Linked DNA regions of Rattus norvegicus. The protein of the gene in region 2 purifies or fractionates together with the protein of the main gene of each other region. This does not show direct contact. Links are inferred from orthologs where the notes say so. Each region holds a gene or a part of one and is shown on either strand. Other genes may lie near its edges.

Region 1 (3,654 bases), on a different chromosome or scaffold from region 2:
CTGTGAGGGAGATGCCCGGGCACCAACAAGCTCAGTGGGCAGGACTTCCGGCAGGGCTTCCGGCCCAGTGTCTTCCTGCTCCATGGCATCTCTGTCTTCAGCTCCTCTCTTGCAGTAGGAGTAGCGGTGATTCATGTGTTGAGAGTAAGACCCCGAGTGTGAGAAGCGCTTGCCACACTTGTCACATTGGTAGGGCTTTTCCCCAGAGTGCAGTCGCATGTGCTCAATCAAATGATGCTTGTGTTTAAATGCCTTTCTACAGATTCCGCACTCGTGGGGCCTCTTACCTGCAAGGTAAGAACGCAGCTATGAAACTGAATACTGGCAGAAGTAAACAGAGTGCTTGGGATGTGAGGGGACATTAAGACTATGAAAGCGAAGGGCTATAGTTCCATGCTCAAGAAACTGGCAGGTCCCCAACTATACTTATGGTTCATCTTTTCTATGTGAAAATTCAAGGCTACACAGTGCTTTGCAGATGAGGTCAGTGCTAACTGCATAAGGCTGAAAAGCCAAAAGTCCACACATCAGGACCACATGGCAAAATGTCGGCCATTGAGGCCCCCATGTGCACAGCAATGGTCTCAGGAAGAGGAGTTCTATGGCATTTGATGTCTCACGGATCTTTTTACGTATGAGCAAACTAACACACATGTAGAGTTTATGTAGAAGCTGTTATGATATCTAAACCAGCTTTTGCCCCGCAGGGCGATCTTGTCCCTGATAAGTGGGTGTGGCCTGAGCAGCACAGGAGACATACCACGGCAGCAGGCATAACCAGGACTGGTGACTTCTAAGTACAGCATAAGCACTTAAAATCCAGAAAGGACTTTTGACATCTCTTTTTACAGCTAGGATGTCATTTTAATTTTGATATTACTGGTATTTAACTCTTTTTAAAGAATTAGGAGATTTTCTAATTTTCTCAGTAAATACAAGTAGAGGGCATGGTCCTGAGCTTTTGTTAGAGAGGTACAGCTTTCAACCCCAACAACAGTGCAAGTGTCACACTGCAGAGTGTGATGAACACTTCTCTTGTGTCTTGTCACCAGAGGGAATGAGTTACCATGGTTGGTAAGAGGCTGACGGTGTGTATGTGCCTGGGTCCTGCAGCTGCAGCTGAAGTGACTGGTAAGGCAATCACTTGGGGTTAGTTACAATGAAATGAGCCTTTCATCTAGCCATCTTGTTGGCTGTGCAGCTCTTACTGCTAGGAGCCTGGTGCTAAACTATGGACATTCTGGAGTTGTCCAAAAGCTATTGAGGCTTGAGGCCAGTCGTGGAGGGAGTTCTCAGACCACAGGGGCCTGCTTCCTATCTGGACTTCCCAGGCTGCAGAGACACACTTACTAAAATAGACCAGCATGGCTCTGGAGAGAGGGAATTGGGAGGGGCAGGCCAGCAAGCACCTTCTGTAAAAGCCCTCCCTGGTGAAGCAAGCATCTTGGGACCGGCTGCCCTCTGTCCCCACTGCAATCATTCAAATCTATCATTGGTATGAGTAGAAACAACAGCTTTCGGCACCAGGCAAGTGAGGGATCTCTGGGTGGAATAAAACATCATCTAGAATGCCAAAGTTTGATTTTCATCTTTAAAAAAAAAATCCTTTTCAATCACAAAAAATGTAAAAGTCTATTCTTGGCTCACAAGCATCAGAGAGATAAGTGGAGCCTTGTTTGGTCTGCAAGACATTGTTTGTAGGTCCTAGGTCAACCTAAGGACTGAAGTGTTCTTAAAATCAAGTTCAGTTTCTTATGCAGAAGTTCTTTCTTTTAAAAACCCTTAGGTGACCAAGAGGCCAGCCTTGCACCACTTGTGAAGTGAAGACCAAGGAGCAGAGCTGAGAGCCTCAGATGCCACAGGAAGGTTTCCTGTGCCCTGGGCCACAGGCGGCTTCAGAACCTTGTGCCTGTGTCCCCCACGCACCTGTATGCTCATATTTGTGTCTCAGCAGGGAGCTGCTCTTCTGAAATATCTTGTCACACAGGTCACATGCGTACATCCCATTCTCTGCCTTCCGAGTTTTCTTTTTGGGTGGCGTGCAGTCAGAGTCATTCTGGTCCTCCACGGAGACTCCTTCTGAGCTAGTGTCTTGTCTTTCATCCTAAGGGGAAAAAGAAGATTAAATGTCTAAGAAAAAGGTTCACAAGCAATAGGGTCAGTGAGATGGCTCAGCAGACAAAGCCACAAACACAGATCACCAGAGTTGGATCCCTGGGATCTACATGGAGAAAGGAGAGAGCTGACCTCTACATTGTCTCTGACCTCCACGTGTGAGGGGTGACATGGGAGGCACCCCACTGCCAATAAATAAAGAAATGTAGGAAGATCAGAAGATGCATGAGAAAGAAATCATGTTAGACATCCACCAGAGCCCAGCAAGCCTATGGGAGAATGACTGCAGACAGCTCCAGGGGCACTAGCACACTACAGTGACTGCACACGGGGTGCTAGCACACACTACAAATAGACACAGAGAGACTCAATGAGTCTGGGAACAACATAGAACAGGGTATAGCAAAAACATCCCTCAACTGTACCAAAAAGAGGGGCCAATCAGATGGTCAGCTGCCACATTTACTTTGTTCTAATTATGATTTTACAGTAGTTTTGCAGAAAGGTTTAATCAATGAGCTTGATTCCCAATTCATTATTTACCATAGTTTTAACAAGAATTCTGAGTTTCACTAAGTAAAAATTAAGATGTAATGTTTAGAAAATATCTTTAAACTGTGTCCTCCATTCTGGAGGCCTTTGTGCCAGCTCCCTTGGTCTGGCGAAGAGGGTTTTGCTTTGGCCCATACTTTCCCTGAATGAGGAGGGAAAGTGTGAGAGGGAGTGAGACTTTTAAATGGGAGCTGTGTGTAAAACAGAACCCTTATGATTGTCATAGAATATACACGACACACCACAATACCTGAAGACAGTCTCAGGGAGGTCACTTTAGGGGAAGGCCCTTTTCTCAATGGAATAATTCTGCAGAGAGCCTCTTGCAGACTAAGGTCAGCTATGACCTTTGCATCTCTTCTAGAGTTCTGCCTCTAAACTCTCTCTGTTCTTCTGAAAGCTCTCTATGACAAGCAAAGCCACTCATTTGCTTGTCACTATAGCTGCCAGTGCAGAAGTGACTCTATAGTTTTTTGATAGTCAGTCATTTGAAATGGTAAAAGCTCTGTTTTCTTTAAATTTAAACATGTATCAAGAAGGGCTGGGAAGATGGTGGATAGTGGGGACTCACTAGACAACCAGTCTAGACAAAATGGTAGGCTCCAGTTCAAGGAGAGACCCTGTCCCTAAAATCTGAGAGTGATTAGGAAGATAGTCACAGTCAATCTCTGGCCTCTACATGCACACTCATGGGTGGACACACCTATACATACACAAGTATACAACACACACACACACACACACACACACACACACACACACACACACACACACACACACACCAGAGAGCTACTGTCATTGGTCATGGACATGGTTTCTTCAAGAGTCACTACAATTCTGGGAACACCCATGAAAGGCAGTATTGAAGGGTCACAGGACATGGAAGTAATTGCAGCTGTGCCTGCAGTAAGATCAAACAGGTATCTCTGGCATTTGATTCAATTAAGAAAACTGATAAAAAAGTGGTGACATTAAGCCTAGTGACAT
Region 2 (3,654 bases):
CTCTTTCACTTCAGTCTTTAACTCAGGGCCTCTCTCCTCTGTTTCTGTAGGTTCTACTTTACCATCCTCAGCTTTAGCCTGAAAGACAAGGCAGAACTTTCACTATTTCACAGACATACTCCTCGGAATAAGTCCATGACCATCACTTATGTATCTACTCTCTTCATTAGGGATACCCACAAATCTCCTTTCATAACAGAGCCTCACCTCCTTTGTGTCATCAGGTTGAGCATCTGCAGGTTCTGGTTGATCCACGTCCATTTTAACCTCCATTTTGACTTCCTGTGATGGTTGCTTCTCAGGAATAGTCTGAGAATTCACTTCTGTGCTACTAGTAGATGGAGGGTTTGACACCTGGCCTTCAACACTTACAGCTGGCTGAGAAAGCTGAAGAGGAAAAAAAAGCACACAAAAGCTTGTCAATTACTCAGAGTTTAACTTTAAGCTACAGAGCCGTACCATTTCTGTTGGGAGCAGTGCCACTGGACCCACTGCTGTCTCCTCTTACTCAGTTCATCTTAAGATAGGAGGTACAGGACTTGCCAATGTTGGCTGGTTCGTTTTACTTGAATGGCTACAAAGGTTTTGGTGTTACTTCCAAAGAGGACTTCCTCAGAGAAAAAACTCAAGGTATTAAAAAATGTAATTGCGGGGCTGGAGAGATGGCTCAGCGGTTAAGAGCACCTGACTACTCTTCCAGAGGTCCTGAGTTCAATTCCCAGCAACCACATGGTGGCTCACCACCATCTGTAAAGAGATCCGATGCCCTCTTCTGGTGTATCTGAAGACAGCTACAGTGTACTTATATATAATAAATGAATAAATCTTAAGAAAAAAAAATGTAATTGCGGACAATGTGATGGTTCACTGGGTAGAGGGACCTGCTATCAAGACTGACAACCTGAATTTGATCCCTGGGCGACACCTATGGTAGAAGAGGATAAATGACTGCTCCAGGTTGCTCTCTGACTTGTGTGGTTATGTGTAATTAGTCCTATAATGTCCTTTAGTTTAATTTCTCAGTACTGCTACTTAATCTGTTTAAAAATATCTTTATGTAAATAAGGCACAGAGTGGTGATATACTCTTTTACCCATAAGTCTTCAGGTCCTAGAAGAGATAAAGCAAAATGGAAAGCAAAACTAAAGAAAACCACAAGAAAGAAAAACAAAAAACATTACTGGAGTTTCCAATCTACGTACTGGAGTAGGAGGCTGAGGAGGCAGCAGTGGTGCTGTTGGGGTGGGGACAGAAGCTGCTGTGCTCTGCTGTGAGCGAGGCTGTGGCTGGGACTGGTCAGCAGGAGGAACAGGAAGTGAAGGTTGCACTTGGGGAGGCAGATGTGTTGGTGGTGTAGGAGTCTGTCTAGATGGGGGGCGTAGAGACTGGGGCTGTGCTCCAGGCGGCATGGCAGGGGGTGTAGGAACAGGCGCTGGAATTGCTGTTGCTGCTGGTTGTTGAGTCCCTATGCTTGGGGGTGTGTGATGAGGAGTAGGGGTACGGCTAGGAACAGGAGAAGGTGAATTCTGATGAGCTTGTTGAGGCAGAGTAGGACAGTGAATATGGCTCCCTTGAGACCCTGGAGGCATTATAGGAGAGTTCACTGGGCAGGAAGAACTGGACATCTGTGCCTGTGAGAATGAAAGATATACGTTATTGCAAAGGCGGATATATAGTCTTAGTACACACAGTGAGAATAAACAAAAAACAATACCTAACGTTTTTTCATTCTGAAAAAGTGTCACTATGTAGACCTGGCTAGCTTTACTAACAGAGACCACCTGCCTGTCTGTCTCCAGAGCAAGGACTGAAGGTGTGCAGGCCTGAACTCAATAAGTTTTAAAGAGGAGGAAAGGGAAACACTCACAATCATACAGGGTTGTAACTTAAGCATGCCTGATTAGAAAGCAGCCACAAGAGGAAATCAGATGCACAGGAGTGGAGTTACAGGCATGTGAGACCCTGATACAAAGATGGACTCTGAACCAGGGTCTTGAAGAACAGCAAGTGGTCTTAACTTGAAAGCCATCTCTAACAACCCTAAGATTTTATTTATTTATTTATTTTTTCTCTTTTCTTTTTTTTCGGAGCTGGGGACCGAACCCAGGGCCTTGCACTTGCTAGGCAAGCGTTCTACCACTGAGCTAAATCCCCAACCCCAAGATTTTATTTTTAAGAGTTCATCCTTGGCCAGTCCTGGTAGTACAGGCCTTTAATCCAGCTAGTTGAGAGGAAGCAGGAGGATCATGAATTGAGACTAACCTAGACTACTTGGAAAAAATTCAGTGTTACCCTGAGCTATTATATTAAGATTCGTTCATATAGTACAATACTTTAAATGCATATGCACATGCTAGATTTGATTCCTAATACTACCAAAAAAAAAAGATATGGTTTGAAAGGTTGAGATGTGTAGCTTAATATTACAAAACCACTGTCTCTTGCTTAAAAATGCTATAAGCACAAAACAGAGTGTGGTAAGGCAAACCTAGAACCTAGCAATTGGGAGGCTGAACAGGAGTATATGACATCAGAACTCTCCTAGGATACACAGTGAGGTTCAGACAAGTTTGAGCTACATGAAATTTAGTCTCAAAACTCCAAATAAATATTTTTAAAAAGTAAAGATTTGTTCTCTGAGTTAAAGGCCAAGGTTAAATGGTAAGACCTGTCTATTTCTATGCCACATTTCTCATGGAAGCTGTTATCAGCAGGAAAGAATGTCTGCCTGTCACGTCTGGAATCTGAACACAATCCTCAGACCCCACACAAAGGTAGGAGAGTAGAGTAAATGCTGTTGTCCTGTATGTGTGCCCTGTGGCCTGTGTGCCTGCTGCACACTAAGCATCATTTTAAACAGTAAAAACATACTTGAGACACTGGTGCTTGACTGCTGGATGGAGCCAAAGGCATGTTTGTTACATTCATTCCTTGGGATGGAAACTGAGTCTGGGAGAGAAATTGGTTCTGGCCAGAAGTCTGCTGCATGCGAGGTCCATAGCCCATAGGCTGCAAATAAACAAAAACACCACACCAAACCATAGATCACCAAATGCTTCATTACAATATTCTCCCACTGTAATGAGCAATCACTCCTGTGATATCCAGATGTTTGCAGAGAGGAAAACATAAGTGAAAGAACTAGTAATCACTTAAAAACTCAGAGTACCAGGCTTGGAAGTACTGAACATAACCTCAAGAAAGAGGGTGAAGGAACGGATGGCTCGAGATATCTCTATCTCTGACATGAAACAAACAACTGAGTATTCTCGTCACAGTGGAAAATGAATAAGTAATTCCATGCGCTCTCTGCTCTTACTACTGGTGCTGAAACAGCACAAACCTAAATGGCTGGAAACAAGCAAAAATCACATGACTACTGGCTAATGTGGTATTCATGATCAGGAAACGTGATGAGACAGGTCCACTTTTCCTGTCTAAAATGGCCTTACATGAGTTTAGACCTTTAATAAAAGGATATACGGAGAATTAAGAACCTATGGTAATATGAATGAGAAATGTCTCTCCAGTCTTGGGCAGTTGAAAATTTGGCCTCTAGCTAGGGGTGCTATTATAAAATCTTCAGCAAGTGCAGCCATGTTGGACAAAGTATGTCAGTAGGTGAGGGTTGAGTTTACAGACTTATTAATCCCC
Region 3 (3,654 bases), on a different chromosome or scaffold from region 2:
AGCGAGTCTGCTACGAACCCTCCCCAAGGCATTTGAAAGACTATCAAACAAAACTTCATGAAACTGCATTACATGGCCTTACTCATTAGATGTTTAAGGCCACAATATTTACGATCGAGTGACAAAGTCCTTCCATGGGACCCTAACTAGGCCTAGATCCTCCGTCTCAGTCTGCTTTTTTATTAGTACTGTCATTGTTCAGACCCACTATTAAATTTCTCTGCCAGCAGGTCAAGTTCCAGGATCCCAGGTACAAGCAAGCATTCAGCAGTAAACCCTGACAGGGTGGAAAGGCTATTCAGATACAGCCCGCAATAAGCAGTCGGTTACATCGGCATATGTAATTGCACATTTTATTATGGGGACTTTAGTCTCGAAAATGCCTTCCTTCTTCCCTATCTCCAGTTTCAAGGACTTCTGATGAGAGAGGAACAGCTCAAATGTTTCGAAGCTACTATTTCTGTTTCCCTTGATCAAAAGCTCAAAAAAAGCCCAAGTTCAGTGTTTCCCTAACAACACTAGTCTACAAAAGGATATTTCAGTATGTTGCTTTAGTATTTCTATATGGATTCTTCTGGCCCCTGTCAACTGTATGTTATGAGGGATTATATTGGAGCTTGAATTATCTGTTGGATTATTCTGTTCGTGCTTACCTGCTGACAAAAAAAAAATATACCTCGGGCTCAAATGATTTCATTCTCATCACAGATAAATGTGAGATGTCTTTCTTTTAAAAGCCGTTCCAGGAAAGCCCGAATCTACCATTTGGATTTGAGGAAGTGTTTAGCATTCAGATTATCTAGCAAGGCTCCCTAACACGCCTACAAGAAGTCTGCAGCCGCTCTCACAGGGCTCTACTTCTGCACTGACCTTTGTTCAAAGGCTTTTACTTTTTAATGCAGCGGTTAGAGATAACTACTTCATTTATCAAAACTCAATTTCCATAGTAACATCTAGCCTGGGGAGATTCAAGTCCTCACACTAACCCAACAACCCATTCAAAGGAACTGTTGAATACTTTGGTTTCCATGGCAATGGTGGAATAATACATTTTGCTAGGTCACTGCTTTTATTAGCAAACTTATTCTTTGAACTTTAGGTAAGGAGGGTGTATTTATCGAGGCGGGGGAAATGCAGCCACTTTTATATCTGTTTTTACCTTTAGGGCTATTCTTAAGAAAATTATAATTGTAGCCATCCAGACACCTGAAAATATTATGGGTATGTGGAACCCACCCACCCTCTAATAAAGTAGGCTGCTGAATTTCATTGTAAAAGTGATTCTGATAATAAGGGCTTCAAAATTAATAGCTCCTACAAGGGACTGCTGTGAATTTAACCAAACACATCAAAAATATAATTAGAGACTGAACTTAAAAATGAGAATGAAATGGAATACTAAGGATGGAGGAGGCCTTCTCAAACCACAGCCCTCCGTCCTGGCCACCCCATTTCATACTCTGCAAATCTCAGGCCCACTTTTCAGAAACAGCAATAAGGTTAAAACACAAATATTTGAAGCCACTGGTGAAACTGATGATAATGTGTTAAGCACTGGTGCTCGACGTGGTGAGTGGAAAAGTTTTTACCTTAAAAAAGGGCCTTATTGAAGCAAGATGATTTACCAAGATTTTTTTTCCTTCTTTCAAGACAGAAAGAAATAGCATTGCCATTAAAGTTTTAAAATCCATCAGTAAACACTGCTGTTCACATTTTGAGGGTCATTAATTCTACGTGAGGTGACAGGGCAAGGTCTCACCGAGGAGACATCAGCCTTCCCGGAATCAGTTTCTTGGGGAACTGAATTGAGCCCAGCCCTTGCTGAAAAGGTAGGCCATTAAAAAATAAAAGTTGACAGAAGAAAGAAGAGATCAAACACATCTTGGCTTTTAAAAGGATGAATGTCACTTATACTATTTACACAACTCCCAGAATTAACAAGAAAATTACCTACCCGTATGAGTCCTCAGGTGAGCTTTTAAATGAGACGACTTTGTATAAACTTTTGTGCAACCTAAAATAAAGGGAACAGAGGAAGAACAACTTGTCATTTCCAGGGCCTTTTGCAATCTTTACATTCGATGATTCAGTGTTTAAAACTTGGCTTTCAAGATGAAATCTCTTGTGCTAGATGTAATATTGGAAGTTTTGGTTAGGAAGTTTCAAGGTGCCCTCCTGACCTTATTAGGAGGCAGAGGTGATCTGCTTTATGGACCATTTTGGGAGCAAAGACCACAGATAATCCAGCCAGTAACAAATGGAAATTCTGTGTTTATATTCCAGTAGGTACTTTTTGCTATAAGGCAGGCTTCAGTGACTGGAGAGCTATCGTAGTGTGTGTGTGTGTGTGTGTGTGTGTGTGTGTGTGTGTGTATTTAATGTAATGGATGTAGGACTGACAGTGTTATATCTGAGATAACTATAATTTTCTATACTCCTGTGTTTTTTTTTTCATTTAGCATGTCATGCCACATTGTGCAGTCAATAAATTATGCCCCGCATTAACCATAAACTCACTTATGCCTGCAACTTGGAGATGTATTACGTCCAATTATATTTTGGGTCATGTATCTCATTGGGGAACGAGCACACACTAATGGAACCAACCATTCTTAAAATTCATCCTGATGCCTTGTGCCTGCCAAGGGGTCCCTACAACCTGAAGAGAAGTTACCACATGCACTATTGCCTATCAACCTACTTAATCTCCAGAGACTTTAGAATTTGGTGCTACGGTTTTAGACCAAATGAAATCCAATACTACTAAAGAGAAAGAAACCCCATTTAGATTAATGGTCTAGTCATTACATAAACAAATCAAATAAAAAAGGGAATTGTAGGAGTTAATTAAGATCTCACTATGTAGCCCAGGCTAGTTAGAACATCTTCCTATCTCAGCCTCATTTCGGGGATTAAAGGCATGAGCTGTCATGACTGGCTAGCCATTATACACCAGCATAAAACACAAAAATATTAAGAGAAAAAGTACACCCTATATATTTTCATGGCTAAGGTTCAAAAGGGAGCAAACGTGAGACTCCGGGGCACCCCGGAACACGAAAAACACTACGGATGCTCCAGAGCACACAGACCACATACCATCATAATCACAGAAATGGATGCGTCGCTTCTCCAGATCCGGGTTACTCCTTCTGTTGTATCGGACAGGTTGGATATTTGGCGAATTAACTGGCAGAGTGGCAGGTAAATTTGGATTGTGAATTGCCAGTTTCGAAGCAATTGTAGCAGCATAGGACGGAGGTGGGGTCAGATTCTGGAGCATCTCAGCTTGTCTATCAGGACTTCCAGGCTCTGAGCTCGGTGGTGATGGGGGAAAGTAGGTGGCCTGCTGTGGAAGAAACTGACTCGGCATGGTGTACGTGCAAGGAGGCATGCCCTGGAACTGTTTCATGGACGTCTGTGGCACAGCAGAGGGGTGTGAGTTAAGGCCAGCCATAGAGACATTAAGGGTGTCCATGACTGCTGTCTGGTTTGTCGAACTGGGCATGTCTAGATCAGGTGTATTCAACAGCTGGTACAGGTGGCCCTGCTGGGAAGGGACCGAGAGATGAAGATCTGGTATAGGAAGTTCTTGTTTGATGAAGATATTGTTCACCTCTGGCGCTGTGGTCTGGTGGGAGCTGAATATACTGG

Evidence for each region.
Region 1: the proteins of Ep300 (region 2) and Zeb1 purify together in Homo sapiens (affinity purification with western blotting; 5 studies listed by BioGRID, with this or other methods). This does not show direct contact. The link is inferred for Rattus norvegicus from reciprocal best matches to the Homo sapiens genes EP300 and ZEB1.
Region 3: the proteins of Ep300 (region 2) and Klf5 purify together in Homo sapiens (affinity purification with western blotting; 3 studies listed by BioGRID). This does not show direct contact. The link is inferred for Rattus norvegicus from reciprocal best matches to the Homo sapiens genes EP300 and KLF5.

Annotation. Positions count from the first base shown.
Region 1 is NC_086035.1:56,646,564-56,650,217, forward strand, and holds part of Zeb1 (zinc finger E-box-binding homeobox 1), read right to left. Parts: intron 2,105-3,654; coding exon 1,927-2,104; intron 288-1,926; coding exon 1-287. UniProt on the Homo sapiens protein: Acts as a transcriptional repressor. Inhibits interleukin-2 (IL-2) gene expression. Enhances or represses the promoter activity of the ATP1A1 gene depending on the quantity of cDNA and on the cell type.
Region 2 is NC_086025.1:115,032,827-115,036,480, reverse strand, and holds part of Ep300 (histone acetyltransferase p300), read right to left. Parts: intron 3,010-3,654; coding exon 2,872-3,009; intron 1,632-2,871; coding exon 1,203-1,631; intron 388-1,202; coding exon 208-387; intron 79-207; coding exon 1-78. UniProt on the Homo sapiens protein: Functions as a histone acetyltransferase and regulates transcription via chromatin remodeling. Acetylates all four core histones in nucleosomes. Histone acetylation gives an epigenetic tag for transcriptional activation.
Region 3 is NC_086033.1:82,475,017-82,478,670, reverse strand, and holds part of Klf5 (Krueppel-like factor 5), read right to left. Parts: coding exon 3,100-3,654; intron 2,015-3,099; coding exon 1,955-2,014; intron 1-1,954. UniProt on the Homo sapiens protein: Transcription factor that binds to GC box promoter elements. Activates the transcription of these genes.